Struthio camelus: one gene and its partner. Each later gene encodes a partner of the first gene's protein in a complex. Links are inferred from orthologs where the notes say so. Each region holds a gene or a part of one and is shown on either strand. Other genes may lie near its edges. The genes, in order: AKAP17A and PPP1R8.

What was found.
Region 2: AKAP17A (region 1) and PPP1R8 share a complex: the UniProt entries of both Homo sapiens proteins name them as parts of the spliceosome. The link is inferred for Struthio camelus from reciprocal best matches to the Homo sapiens genes AKAP17A and PPP1R8.

What each region holds. Positions count from the first base shown.
Region 1 is NC_090942.1:147,316,739-147,324,196, reverse strand, and holds the start of AKAP17A (A-kinase anchor protein 17A), read left to right. Parts: upstream 1-4,430; 5' UTR 4,431-4,497; exon of another isoform or gene 4,498-4,585; intron 4,586-4,957; 5' UTR 4,958-5,408; coding exon 5,409-6,170; intron 6,171-7,458. UniProt on the Homo sapiens protein: Splice factor regulating alternative splice site selection for certain mRNA precursors. Mediates regulation of pre-mRNA splicing in a PKA-dependent manner.
Region 2 is NC_090964.1:2,894,855-2,902,812, forward strand, and holds the start of PPP1R8 (nuclear inhibitor of protein phosphatase 1), read right to left. Parts: upstream 3,165-7,958; 5' UTR 2,967-3,164; coding exon 2,905-2,966; intron 1-2,904. Other genes in the region: STX12 (syntaxin-12), read right to left, coding at 6,340-6,432, 7,912-7,958. UniProt on the Homo sapiens protein: Inhibitor subunit of the major nuclear protein phosphatase-1 (PP-1). It has RNA-binding activity but does not cleave RNA and may target PP-1 to RNA-associated substrates. May also be involved in pre-mRNA splicing.

The DNA of each region.
Region 1 (7,458 bases):
GCATAAATCTTGCTAGCAAGTATAATACAACGTGACTTAATAGCTTGAATCTAATGTTTATGTTTTACAGGCTACTGCATGCTGTAGTTCAGCCAGACAGTTCATAAATCAGTTCTGCTATAGATGCTAATTCCTCTTTGGCAAAAGCAAGAAGTAGATTTTTTGTTTGTTATTTATATTAAGTGTAACATTAAGTGCGACAGTAAGCACAGCGCACTGAGGTAAATTGGTAGAACTATCGCGCTCTGCATCGGATACTCCTAGTCTGTGCTAACAAGATGAATTCCTTGTTGTACAGATGAATTAAGAGGGAATGGAATTATCTTTGTATATAGTCATATTCTACTTATTTAAATAGAATACAACAATTAGGTCTGTAGAGGACCAGTTACAGGAAGTGATGTTTAATTCCAATTAATTGAAATTGCCCCATGTCAGCACACAATTCTTCTAACGACATGTATTCTTCCCAAGGCAGACAATCATAAGCACAGTTTTTACTGACACATAGCATTCAGTTAGACCAAAAAAAAAAAAAAAAAAAAAAGGAGCAGAGATAATGGAAGCAAAGTGAAAAAAATAGAACTGTTTCTTGCCATAGAAAATAAAACAATGCATCATGTGCTGCAATTCTATGCTTCTACCCACTTAGAGGCTTCAAGGCATCAGGGCTTAATTTTGTTTTGTGGGTAGAGCCAATTTAATGTCTGGAAACATCATTTTTACTCTTTTCAAGAATTACGCAATCTATTGGTCCAAGTCTTCTGTGCTGCTGCTGCATCCACCTCCAGCTACTATCCATAAACAGTTTGATGGTACAGTGAATCACTCTGGTTTTTTTTTTCAGTAGGAGAGAGAACAAAGAGATGTTCTCTGTTAAGTGACAACAGAAAACAGAAATCACACTGAAAGTAATCAAAGGCTGGTAAGGACTGTAGCTGTTTCTAAAAAGAAATATACTAGGAGTATTTATGGACTTTATACAGCAGAGAAGATTTAGATGATCACTGGAGACAAATCAGTCTCAAACAGAAAAAGCCAAGTTTTAAGCTAAAAAGAGCTCCTCCTCTTTGGTATTTTTCAGAGGGGAAGAAGCAAGGAAGGAATGGAAGTAGCACTGCTGCTTTAATGCATTACACATGTAGCTTCTTGCATTCATTGCCACAAATGATCATTAAAGGCAAGAGCATGGTGCAGAATGAACAGCGGAATAAGTATACAGATAAGACCACGCACAGTAAGGAGAATTGTGTCCTCTTGTAAGAAAAGCAGAATAGTGTGTATTAAGGCATGAATACAAAACTTAGTATCTGCTGTTTATAGTCTATTTTAATTGTGTTTGTGAATACATGTATAGATAGATTTTGTGCATATAGATAGATAGATAGATAGATAGATAGATAGATAGATAGATAGATAGATAAAACAAGGGCTCCCTCTAGTGAACTTTTAAGGGATTCAAAGTGTGGTGGTTGTGACTTCTAAAGATACAAGCAGACAAGGTTTGTAGGTAGAAATCTTATCTGCTATTAGACCACTTGTTGAAGTTGAGCAAGACACACAAGTCACTTTTCAGGTCTCTAGCACAATATATTTGTTGCAGTTGGGGAAATGGAATGTGTTACAGTGACAACCAGATTGAATGCACTGTTATGCTTGGATACTGTCACTGATGTTTACCTTGCCTGTTCATGCTTCCTCTTCCTGGTATGTGTGATATGTGACCTATTTTCTGAAACGCAAAAGGAACCATTTCATTTAGTCACTTAGGTATCTCAATATAGTTTATAAAACAAACAAAACAAAAATGCACATCTACTAATTGTATTTGTGCAGGCAGAAAGTTTACCCTTGCCACATCTTTTATATCTTTCTAATGCGCATTTCAACTGTTTCTTCTTGTCCACAGCCTTTACAATATTATTCAATATAACATCACATTCCTTTTTCCTTTCCCCTACCGTGTTAGATAATACATTTGTAACATTCCTTTCAGCCGAGAGTATATCAGAAAAATAGTCTGTGAAAGATATTATGGTTATGGTTGGTAGCACAACATGGGTAACCTTAATTCTATCATTTTGTAAATTTTCAGGCACAGGATTCAAAACTGTTGCCCTACATAACATCTCACTCCACTTCTACTGAAACTACGTGGAATGTGACTGCTTTGTTCACTCCCAAATGAACTTTCAAGATTTTAAGAGAAAGCGTAGCATACGATGCAAGTATTCTCCAACTATCATACATGAGCTATTTCAAGGTGTTGTACAGTGGCAACAGCTTCTGATTTTGTCTTTGTACAAATACTTAACTAAACCGTGGAATGCATATTTCTGTGCAAGAAATTAGAGGAGGGTTGGCAGTTACCAACATCCGTGATGTGAAATAACACTTCTATACAACAACTGCGGTCTCACAAGGACTGCTGGATTGGTGGTAACTTCCTGTGTTGTGTTTTGACCTATGCTTTAGAGTCATTATTTCCATACAGTGGTTATCACCAGTCTGCTGCCACAGGTAACTGCAGTCCCTGTTTCTCAGCCTGTGGGAGCTTACCTAAGGTGGGACTGGGTGCCTGCTTTCATATGCTGCAGGGGGAGCAGGTGATGTGGAGAGAACGGGTAAGTCACTGACTGAGGTCAGGAGGATGGAAGCAGTAATGGCTTGTGGGCTAGGGATATGCAGCAAGAAATCGAGAGAGGTAGGTGGTGGCATGTGATTATAGGGCCGGTGTTGAAACCGGGGTCAAGAACATGCGATCATTGGAGGGTGATGACAGAGCAGATGGAGGCAAGCCTTCTCCTGTGCATGTGTGCTGACCTATGCAGAGTTGGAAACTTTTGCATCCCGTACTTACACTGAAGTATGAGCAAACCACCAGTGGTAAAACTATAGTGGGAAGCTTTGATATTCTGTATTATCTGCAAAATAGTATAAGATCATATAAAAATCCTGTATTTTAGGTTCAGCCAGCCTATTTGTATTTTGGGCAAAACAGACATAAAAATCAAACAAGCACGAAAGAAGTAACTGTCCCCTGCCCTCACTACTGCAACTTAAATACCTTTTTTCACTAATATAAACTGAAGACCAGGAAAGAAAGAGAGCACATTCAAGAGACCAGGTATTTTGGTATGCCTTGAATATATTTACTAATGAACAATTATATAAACACTTGTCAATACTTTATATATTTTCCGTTCTTTTTTCCCCTCTCTTTCCCTCTGTACATGCCGGGCAGTTAAAAAAATTCCTGAATATTGGGAACACCAAGGACGTGATGCAGTTAAAGACTAGGACCTCTACACTCAGGTGCCTACACGCAGACGTCCACCTGTGACCTAGGGGCAGGATTCAGCTGCCTGGCAAATGGGCCTAGCGCCTACTGAGGTGCCCTAAGGTACCCGAGACGTCGTCAGGATTTGAGGAGACTCACAGCCTCCTAGAGCAGCAGCCAGAGACCCAGCAGGACCCAGACCCCACAGCTCCTGCGATGACACTGGAAGCTCAATTCACTTGTCTAAACATGTGTGCCTACAGCCATGCAGGTTGTCAGCATAGCCTCCAGCTGCCAGTATAGACAGGTTTCCTCCACGAACAATTTTTATAATTATTTTCGTAATTATGTAGGATAATTTTTAGCCCCATATACATAACTTGGGTATCTTACAGCATCTTAAATAGCATTAGGCACCCATGTTCATACGACTAAATTGTGTCTGGTTGATTTGTGAGATTGTTTATAAATACAGGGTTTGGGTTCTTTTTCCCAGAAAAGCACAAACTATCAGAAGTGTGTGGGAGGCTATTTTCCTTGGTAGACAGTGACTCCGGAGGCCCCAGCACTGCTCTCGGCAAGGTGCTCGGTTTCTGCCCTCTCATCTCCCAGTAGGTAAGAAGGAAACGGTGAGAAAGATCTTCTTGGAAAGCAGGCCTGTTGGCACGCACCGAGCGCAGGCAGGCCAACGCTGCTGCGCAGCGCACGCCTGACAGGGAGAGCAAGAAGCAAGGGCCTGCTTTTCACTAGAAACTAGTGGAGTCACTTTGCCGGCAAGTTTCCAGCGCGAACAGAAAACAGGCCGTGACGCTGTCATTGCCAGCAGGGCCACAGAGAGAAAATGAGGTCAGAGAGGGCCAAACAGAAACACCAAGCAGGCCACGACCCACTTTCTAGGCAACTGGGCAACGGAGCAGAAACGCAGTTCCTACCAGCCTTCACACAAAACTGACGCTTGCGGGGGAGTTTTAGGGCCCCGCAAGCCGCGCAACTGCGCCTGCGCCGCGGCCCTCCCGCCCGCCCGCCGGCCTCCCCTCCCCGCCGCCTGGTGTCGCCCGCTGGAGCCGCGGCCCCGGCGCTACCATAGAGAGCGGCTCCGCCCCTCCCCTTTGCCGGCCAGGACGCCTCCCCCGCTAACCCCCCCCACCCCCGGCCGACGCGGAAGCGGAAGCGGGCCTAGCGGCGCGCGGTGGCGGTGGGGGGCGCGGAAGGGACGGGTGCGCGGTGGGCGGCCGTTTGCTGGGGGTGGGAGTCCGCCGCGCCGCGCCGGGCCGGCTGCGGTGAGGCGGCGCCGAGGCGGGCGCGGTGAGTCTCCCCGTGCGGGTGGTGGTGGTGGTGGTGGTGGTGGTGGTGGTGGGTGGAGAGGCCTCACTGTGCCCTGGGAAACCGGCAAGGGAGGGGGCAGCGGCGGGCCGGGCCGGCCAGCGGGGAAGGCCGCGGCTCCCCCCCCCCCCCCCGCGCCCGCAGGCGGCTCGTTGCGCAGCCGGACGTGCGGCCCGCACGCAGGGGTCACTCGCTGCCGTTTGGCTGGTAGCGCGGGCTGGAGGGCTCCCAGCCTCGCCGTGCCGCTCAGGCTGCTCTGCGGTAACCGGAGGGCGAGGAGGCTTCTGGCTGGAGGGGGGGGAGGAGAAAAAAAAAAAAAAAAAAAAAAAAAGCAGTGTTCTTCTCTCATTGCAGATACCCTATGAGTCTTTAGAGTGGAGAGCGTGGAGTCTGTCCTCAGTGCTAATCTGCTGTGGTTTATGTGTTGTTAAGTAGACTTCGAAGCCGTGTGACATCACTCCTCCTGTTCCTTTCTTCCTGAAAAAAGGGTAGCTGCTTTCTGAGCCATCGCATACCAACTTCATTTATTCCTAGATTGTCCTCAGCGTCTTGTTTTTTCTGAGGCCTTACTGAGATTTAGTTGTTTATGGGCTCAGGTGGTTATAAAGTAATTTAAGATGCTTGTGTTACTTGATTTTAACTCTCTAATTGACTTTTATATTAAGAGACATTGGTTTTACTTGGGAGTGATTAAATGTCCAAGGAGTTCAATTCTTTATGCATAAGGGCTATTTTATTTGACATTTTTTGGCCTACAACTTAAACTTTCATCTTTATTCTTTTTATCCTATGCTTTTTCTGTGTTATGGCTGCTGCAACAATAGTTCATGATACATCAGAAGCTGTAGAGCTCTGTGCTCCCTGTGGGTTATATCTTAAGCCCATTACAAAAATGACCATCAGTGTGGCACTTCCTCAGCTGAAACAACCAGGAAAATCCATTTCAAACTGGGAAGTTATGGAAAGATTGAAAGGTATGGTGCAAACTCATCAGTTTTCTACTCTGCGGATTTCTAAAAGCACAATGGATTTCATCCGGTTTGAAGGAGAGGTTGAAAACAAAAGTTTGGTGAAGTCTTTTCTGGCATGCCTTGATGGCAAAACAATAAAGCTGAGTGGCTTCTCTGACATTTTGAAAGTCCGTGCTGCAGAGTATAAGATTGACTTTCCCACCAGACATGACTGGGACTCTTTTTTTCGTGATGCAAAAGATATGAATGAAACTTTGCCAGGGGAAAGACCAGATACTATTCATTTGGAAGGCTTACCTTGTAAATGGTTTGCAGCAAAGGATTCTGGCTCAGAAAAGCCAAGTGAGGAAGTTCTCATAAAAGTTTTCAAGAAATTTGGAGAAATACGTAATGTGGACATACCTATGCTGGACCCTTATAGAGAAGAAATGACTGGCAGAAATTTCCACACTTTTAGTTTTGGAGGCCATTTAAACTTTGAAGCCTATGTTCAATATCGGGAATATGCAGGTTTCATTAAGGCCATGAATGCCCTGCGAGGGATGAAGCTGATGTACAAAGGCGATGATGGCAAAGCAGTGGCTTGCAATATAAAGGTGAGAACTACAGGCTCTTGTATAATAACCCATGTTAAAGAACAGATGCCACTAAAATCCTGTGGACTAGCTGTAATAGAATGTTGAAAGGAAAATGATAGAAAGAAGAAAAATGTGTTATGTTAGGCACAGAATGGGTGGGGTTTTTTTCCTTTTTCTCAATGGAAGGACCAAATACATGAGTATGACTTGTTCATGATTTGTGATTTTTGAAAATTAATACATATCTATAAATATTGTCATTTCTCTTAAAAATTATAATTCTGAACAAGTTCAGACATATTTCGCTAGAAGGTTGACTTAAATGAAATGTCCTCTTGTGTACACCACAAATGGAATTTTTGGGGGAGAAATTCACAGCCTCCTACACTGACAATGAGGTCTACCAGACAAGTGTCAGGATTCTGAAATTTAATAGTCTGTGACCTATAAGACCTGTGGAATGCACCAATTGATCATGGTTAGTGTACTTCACGTACGGAAAGGCCTTAAAAAAAAAAAAAAAAAGTACATGTTAAACTGTAGCACAATTTCCTGTGAATCCAGTATGTTGAATTCATAATATTTACATACCAAGATTTCCAGATCTTTTCTTTTTGTGCAACCTCATTGTCTTAGAAAACAGAACTATGGCAGGAGAGGACAACGCGTCCTCTTCTGATGTAATGTCAATGAAAGTATGGCCTAAGGACGACTGCTCTGATATACTTGGAGTTTGTCCATCCAGTTATGTATCAGTTGAGTGAAATGTTTGCTTACTTATTTCAGTGGACTTCATAGTCATTCATCAAATCAGGATGTGTATTTCAGGAAAAAGCTTGACTATTCGTTTTTGTAATACGGGAACATGTAAATACTTATTTAAGTTTTATTTTATTAAGTAGAATACTATAATCTTGTTACAAAGCTTGTCAGTTGGAGCATAGAAACTCTTTAGACCTTAACTTTTTTATTTTCCAGGGGTTGTGAAATTCAGACTGTCACTTACATACACTGGATCAGGGTTCCCAAATTTAGTTTGTCCATGCAGGAGGAGGAATGCTTTCCTGGCAGCTGCCCTGGGGATTGAATAGGAAAGGGAGAGGGCAATGTTTGCAACTGTGCTATCAGGACAGATCTCCTTCATACATAGTTACAGTGCTCTGACCTTTCCAACTCTGCTTCTCTCTGTCCATCCTTTTAACCTGCTAGTGGAACATCGTTTTACATACAGTCGGAATGAAATAAATTGTGGAGTACTTACTCTTTGCCTTGCACCCCATGGTTTGTATCTTCCGCTGGCTAGGGG
Region 2 (7,958 bases), on another chromosome or scaffold:
AGCAGCACCAGAGATGCCACAGATGGGAAAATTCAGAAAGTCCTTGGCATAAATAAAATTTGAAGAACTAATTACAGCAACTGTCAAAATGACTTTGAAAATTCTGCCTTCTCTCTCATTCCCTACTCCATGAGCAGACTCGCTCTCTGCCATGACCTTTGAATACTAAAGCAAATTCATTGTTCTCCATTCAGGTTCTTAAAACCTTGCTGAAGCCAGCTATTCATTTACTGGTTGCTATAGCCGACAAACTAGAAACAGGAAGCTTTGAGTCAAACACACACACACAGTAGATTACATTTAATATAACACACATGTGAATCTCAATTACATGAAGGCCCCAAAGACAGTGGAAGATTTCATATAGTCAAGAGCGTCAAATAACAAAACTACTGGTCCAAAGCCTGCTACTGCAAACCATTTTCACTCTGGAGGATCATAACTGCAGCTCACACATAGAGCAACTCTGCACATGAATCTGCGGTGAAAGACCTATCGTTATTCAGCCTCAAAAATCACGTGATCTTTGGTTTGCTCCAAAAGAAATAAAGCTTTAAAATTGTGAACATTGAATTTGTAATTTAGTAGGTGCCAGCAGAAGGAATGTAAAGTTTTTACAAGAAATATGGTATTTTACTTTTTTGCAGACTAGGAAATCAAAATTAGAGGTCAATAAATTCAACCTTTTGGGGAGGGGCTCCTCCCTCCTACTGGATGAGACAGTGGAGTACCATGAGCCACAGCTGCCTAACGTTTTCCATTTGCAGTTACTTATACTTTTAGCGGAATACAAACACTGTTATTGGAAGCTATCCACATTGGCTCCTTGCTACATACTAATTTTTCAGGCTTATGTAACAGCTTACCTGTTTTAATAGAAATGTTAAGCTTTCCCACACACACAAAACAAAAAAAGAACAAAAATACCTTACACCGAGATTATTTACCACATCTATTCACAACAATTTGACTAAGACCAAACTCTATCAGGTATGTATTTTACTCAGTAACTAACTAAAATACTACAATTTGTACATGTCCAATAGAGGTTTAGTGGAAAGTAAATAGTTTCTTGAAAACACAGAGGGAGAGAGTCCATATACTAGCTTTGTTTTACCTGAGGAGTATTTTAGAAAATTATACTAAAAGAATATTCAGGTTGCAAAAAGCTGATCATCAAAAAAATTTGGAAGTGTCACAATGAAGATGAGTTATGGTACTTGAATATGGTTCCCTTACTCATGGGTGTGAAAATTCTGGCTTTAATCAGACCCCTGACTCCCCTTCCACTTCATTTTTCTATCATTCAGCACAATGGATTTGTGCTTCAAAACCAGTTCATGCTAGCACAGTGAAGGAAGCTGTCCGTCTGTAAGACCCTACCCTGTTTGTAGCAGAAGCCAGAAAGTACATAGCTAAAGAGGCCCTCACAGTTATGGCTGCTACAGTTCTCTCCAGATGGCATTTATTTAGGAATTCTTCTGCAATAGCATGCAACTGCCTGAACTAAACATTTAACAAGTTACACCTTTTCAGCTATTCAATCTAAGGCTTCCAGAGGCAGAAATCTCTAGTATTTACTACTGAATACAGTGCAAGTTGTGAACACCGTGCTACAAAAATACTATGAAAAAAAAAATTAAGGACCTATGTCAAATTCCAGGTTGAACAACCAGAATGTACTGACACTGTGCAATTAGTAGGTTTACCTACTCCATCACACCATCATTACACAGACCACCATCTTGTCTCATACAGATGTTTGTTATTACATACGCTTACCATAGACAACACGGTAAAATACAGGAGAAATTCTCTTCCATGAGAGAGTTGAATGACATTCACTGATTAAAGCAAGGACTTATAAAATAAGTGAAAGTTAAAAAGCACATTTACTAAGCATCCATTCACTGAGCACTATCATCCAAACACTGAAGAAAAGTATGGGACCCACAGTAAAAAAAAGATGATTATGACTATGCAAATAAAGACTGTAGTCATGCACATACACAGGCAAGGACTAATTAACTAATACAAAAGTGGTTGAATTTTCAGCTCTAGTGCTATGTCATTTTCCATGTAATTTAAAGTACGTGTAACCTGAATAATCAGTTGAAAAAGAAGATGGCACAGCAAATGCCTATTTAGCCACCTATCCAAGAACCCGAAGAGAACAAAATAGGATCCTAGAAAGCCTAATCTAAGGCCCTGCTCTCAACAGAAGGTTGGACCAGATGATCTCCAGAGGTTCCTTGCAACCTGCACTTTTCTATGATTCTAAAACCAACCCTATTCATGTTTCTAATATTGCTTCTTCAACACATCACTTTGACTTCCTACTCAATGCAATATAAATCCAGGCTAGTTTTAAGTTGATAGACTTTTTTGTACGGTATACGTAGCTTAAGTAGGAAATTTAATCTGTCCTGTATCATATGCTTTGTTTAAGCCCTTGCAAAAACACAAAGCATCTCCTGAAAGCACTCTGAGCTTCAGCCAACTCTGTATTTCGGCACTGAACCAAGATAACCCGCAGGCACTTGCTGATGAAGGATGCATCCGCAGGGCTGCACTTCTCAGAGCCCCCTGACAGGGCCCAGCACCCCGGGGGGGGGGGGCAGATAGCTACTGCCGCTCCCGGCTGAGGGAGCCCAGGCCCGGGCAGGCAGCCTTGTCCCCGCGCCCGGGAGACGTCGTAGCCCCGCGGCCCTGCCCGGTCCCAGACTCCCCTCACATGAGCGGCCGCCACCAGGCCCGGTGCCACTCCCCCGGCCCGGCTCGGCCCTGCCCAGCCCGGCGGGCACCAGCGCTCCGCCGCAGCAACCGCCAGCCCGCTCAAGGCCCGCGGCGAACCCAAAGGCGAGGGCCCCGGCGGAGGGCGACGGCGCCGGCCCGCCCGCTCACCAGCTAGGGCACTCGAAGAGCGAGAGGCCGCCGCCTCCGGCCGAGTTCGCATTCGCCGCCATCTTGCATCTGCCCCATTCAGGCGGGCCGAGGGCAGGATGGGAAACAGGCGGACCCGAGCGAGAAGCAGTCCCAGAGTGCCCCGCGCGGCTCCGCCAGAGCGAGGCGGGGCGGGGCGGGGCAGGGGCAGGGGCGGCGGCGGCGGCGGCGGGGCGGGGGGGGGGGGGGTTGGCTCCAGCTCGCCGCCCGCCTCGCGCCCCTCCCCCGCTCCGGGGGGTGCGCGCGCGCCCGGCGGGGCCGCGCTCTCCGCGGTCACCGGGGCGGCTCGGCGGCCGCGTCAGGCCCCGGCGGGGGCCCAGTGCCGCCCCTACGCCCCGGGGAAGGCTGGAGGAAGCGCCTCGGCCCGAGGCAGCCTCGTACCCGCCCGAACGTGGCTCAGGGCGGTTTCTTAGGAAGACGCGAGGGGCGGCCGGTCCGGGGCGGCTCTGCCGGGTTAGACCGCAGCCGACCGGGACGCACTGCCCGGTCCTCGGCCTCTGCCCGCCCAGCTGACAGAGACACGCTGCGCTGCGCCTTAGGCCTTGGACAGCGCAGACGCTTGCCGATCTTAGTGTTCCTGCCCCTCTTCCTTCCGGGCCTCATCTCCCCGCACCCCAGGGCACCAAGAAGGCCCTGTAAGTTACATCCATGTCATTAAATTCCTCAAAAAGAAACCGAGAAACGCTACATAACCTTAGCTATTAAAACACATTTTTACTTCTACCATGGGGCCTTCCTTCTAACTGCTTTTGGAGAAGGAAGAGGTGGATAAAAACAATGAAAATGTTAGCAAGTATACAAAATTGCAGAGAAATAAGCTAAATGCAATGCTTCTGCAACAAGTTTTTTAAGACTCCTTTTACAAGCATTCTAGCTAGATGACAGGTTTTTTCAGGATCCTTCTCAGCTTTTTGAATAAATTTTAGGTAGAAAACAAATCAGATGGTAGCTAATATTGATGATATACTTTCTTACTGGTATAGATAATTGAGCCCGTAAGGGGAAAAACTAGTTTTCACCAATAATCCCCAGCTCCCCCAAGAGCTGTCACTAAATCGATCAAACACCCCTGAGCACTGCAGGAATAGCTATCACTACAAAAGGGGCAAGTAAGCTTATTCCATCCCTGGATCTCATTGTGAGAGGTAAACTTCCTGCAATAAATTTTCAGTAGTTAGTACAGTGGTAGCAAACAATCCCTGAGGCAGGAAAGTTCTCTCATAGTGCCATGGTGCTGCAGCAAGGGAGATGAGAGTTTCTGCTTGCAATCCTTCACATTCACGCATCTTCGTTAAGACCACTGTTAAAAAGAGCAGTGGGGCTCCTGCAGAGACTCAGTTCAACAAAGCAAAGGAAGAGAAAGGAAGCAAGTAATTCTAGCAGTCCTGACTCAAGGAAGCACTTGTGTTGTCTACTTCAGTTTCAGGCAGCTGCAACTGATTTAGGTTAGGACAGAACCTAAAAATAATGCACCCAGGCTCTCTTTAAAAATGGTGAAAAAAGGGCTTTTATTTTCATATGAAAGTGTAATATCAAAAAGAAACTCCCCATGCAGCAGGCAGTGCATAAAGCAACAAGATCCACCATTCAGGAGGAGTAGAACAACACATACTCATTTCCCTTGCTTTTGAGTCAGCTTAACTCAGTAAAGACTGAGTCCCAGCAGTAGGCAAACAGTCCAAGTTTACCAATCAACATTCAAGGAAGCCAGATTCATCTTTCTATGATCAGTTACTGGACAGGACTGCTGCACAGGAGTTTTGTATATGTCCACAGGGAAGTCATTCCATGTTTTTACCTAGGTTAGCTTAAGAAAAATCAGGGACTGTTGAACTTAAAATGGAGGAAACACCACTAAAGCAGATATAAAGTCTTCTACACTGATTGCAAAGAGAGGCAGTTGCAAACAAATTGGAAAATAAAGACTATGACAGAGGCTTTTAAAAGTGTTTATTGACAGTTATTAGATGGAATGATGGCGCAATAGTGCAAAACACTGTGCAATTGGGAGCACACACTCCCTTCCCAGCTTTCACATTTACTTTATTATACAGGAGACATGGAATAAGGATTAAATACAAAAATGGGTCAGTATGCTGCATTTGCCACACTGTGATGGGCTTTGGACAGATTACTGTTCCCTCAGTGCATGTCAGTTCAGAGCTACATCAGAGTGGGGAGTGGCTGCTATGTTCTCTCTAGCTCTACTAGCGAGACATTAATTCAACTAGAGATCTTTTTCATTTGTACACACATCCTCAAACAGTCTTAAAAACCTAACACTTCACTCAGCCAAGTGCTGCACTTTCTATTTCATAAACAGTGGAAAATACCAAGTGTTCACAAGCAATATGTAATATTCACTGGTACACTACAAGCGAGCTTCGAGAGTACTTCTTTAGAAGCAGCATTTCAGGTAATACTCACCTATCTTGCTAGCTTGTAAATTTAGGTGCCCACTTTCTCATCTTTGCATGATTTTCTCCCTAAAAGCTTCTAAAAAGCAATTAGGAGTGAACAGCTAAACTTTTTCCCCCACTACTTAATATGGATTTCGTGCACCTTAGTATTTCTAGTGTTTGAGAGTCAGCATTGGAAGAGTTTTATTTGTCCAATAATAAACCACCAGCCAGTTTATCTAAGGAAATTGCATCGTTAGATTATCCTAAGTCAAAGGTGTTCTGTCCTCACAAATGCTGCATTTGAAGAAAACAAACAATGCCCCTTCCCCCCCCCCTAAACTCCACAAACCACCAACTGTGCTCAAACATTAATAGAACAGTTACAAGTCTCATGGCTAAACTGACCAGTTACTAAGCACACTAGTGGTTCCAACTGTGGTCATCCATGCCTACTTCCTACCTTCCAAATCTGTAGTAGCATCTTTCTCTATAAGAGAGTTTAGAACCATGGCCACCTGGAGACTAATTAAACCATGGGGAAGACACTGGAGACTTTAGAAACTGCTGGATTAAGGTAATGCAAATCTGTATTGTGCCCTCTTTGAATGTCATTCTTATTCCAGTCCAAAGTTACCTATACATACAAAATGTTAAAATTGTGCCACTTGCCAAAAAACAAGACATCTCCAATTATTGATCACACTTCAGTATACATTTGGGACAGGGAATAATACATTACAGAAGGAAAAAAACCACAAGATCTTAGTTACATAAAACAATGTAATTTGTATATAAACTGATAAATACTGTCTCCATGGTTCACTAATTCCATATACTAGTTATCTGCACATTAGTTGCTAATATCTATTACTAGAAGAAGTTCCGGCTTCTGCTCTCTCAAGGTGGTCAATTCATTTCTGAGACTAGTCAGCCTGTTCGCTCTGGGGGAATGAGAATTGCTCTCTGCAATGAGATTAGGTTCCACATGAAAATTTCATTTTGTTGCCTGCCAGATAACAAGTCCTAGGATTAGAGAAGCCACAGCAAGACCAAGAATCAGGATACAGATCTTCTTACGGGATTTCTTCTAATGGAAGAAGAAAAAAAAGCCATTGACACCAAGAACAGAGGACAAGAGGATAGATTAGAGCACTCTGTACCCATCCTTATTCAAGAGGAGTGTACAGACTACACGGCTTAAGCATTCTTTAAACAGCATGATTTTATAGCTAGCTGTTTTCAGTTTCAGCATAGTCTAAGAGGTGCAGTTAAGTCAAAAATGTGTCAAGTCTCGCTTCTCTCAAGGAAAATACAAGTTTCACTCAAATTGCCTATAAAAAGAGAACCTGACAGCATCTAGCATATGCTTTTCATACCTAAGGTAGGCCACCAGAGCTAGAGGAAAACTAACTACCTCTAGCTATTTGGATTTTCCAGCTAAGACAAGTAATAACTGCTAACTAGTTCCCTGATATAATCTCTCCTTGGTCACCTGGAGTTGGCATGGAGATTGTATTGCATTTCTACAGTTTAAAAGCTTTGATAAACAGTTATGGTACTTGGATTTTACAGTTTTGATCACTTTTAATCATCACAGAAAGCTACAACCTGTCCATATATACAGAATACTTTTATCTAAGGATTTGAGGTTAGTTATATAAAACCTCCTCTGCCCAGAAGAATATGTCCAATACATGTCCAAAATCTGCCAGACTTGGCTTTATCATACCTTGAAGATTCACTTTATAATGGAACCCGTGGAAAGAGAAAATGATACTATATCCTGGCAGCTGGCAAAGGCTACTTTCCCTCCCTGCAGCTAAACAGCACAGGAGTTTTATTGCCTTCCAATATCTCCTCACTTAACAGCTTGAGGAAGTCCAGTTTCCTATCTGGTATATTGTCCTGAGGTACCAGCAGTAAAACTCTATACTGAACTGACTGACTGACAGAGCACCCCCATTCTTTCATAGAATCTAAACCCCCCAAGGACAATCAGGAAAGGAGCCTACAAGAAAGCGCTAAATATAATAAACAAAGAAGTTTGCAGTGGCTGTCACTGCTCCTTACAGAGTTGATGGGACTTAGGACAGACCAAGGAACGGGAACTGAGCAGTCAGAAAGGTCCTGCAAATCCTGGTGAGCAGAAACTGCCCAAGTTTGTATATGGATTTTTTTCACATCCGTGTTTACACAAAGTTCTGTAGAGTATTGTCTTGACCAGCATATTTACAAGATGGGTACATCATGAGAATTTATTCTCGTTTAACTGTTTCGCTACCTTCCGAGAACGGCAAAGCTAGGCACTTAAACTCATTGAGCACATCTACGTGAAGGAACAAAATGACGGCATATCCTCTGCGTTAGAGGGCTAATTTCAATGCTGTGTTTCTCACTCAAGCGCTTTATTTATTCCTTAGAGTACAGCTTTGTGGAAGTGCCAGCTTGCATAAGCTGTTTTTAAGAACTTGTTTGGCATGCTGCAGTCCTCATTATATGTCTTGTTATGCCTGTACCATGTTGCACAAGTGTATGTTGACATTAATACAAAGCATACAGAATTTACCTGATAATAGGCAGCTCTCTGTAACTGCTCACTGGCTCTTTCCACAT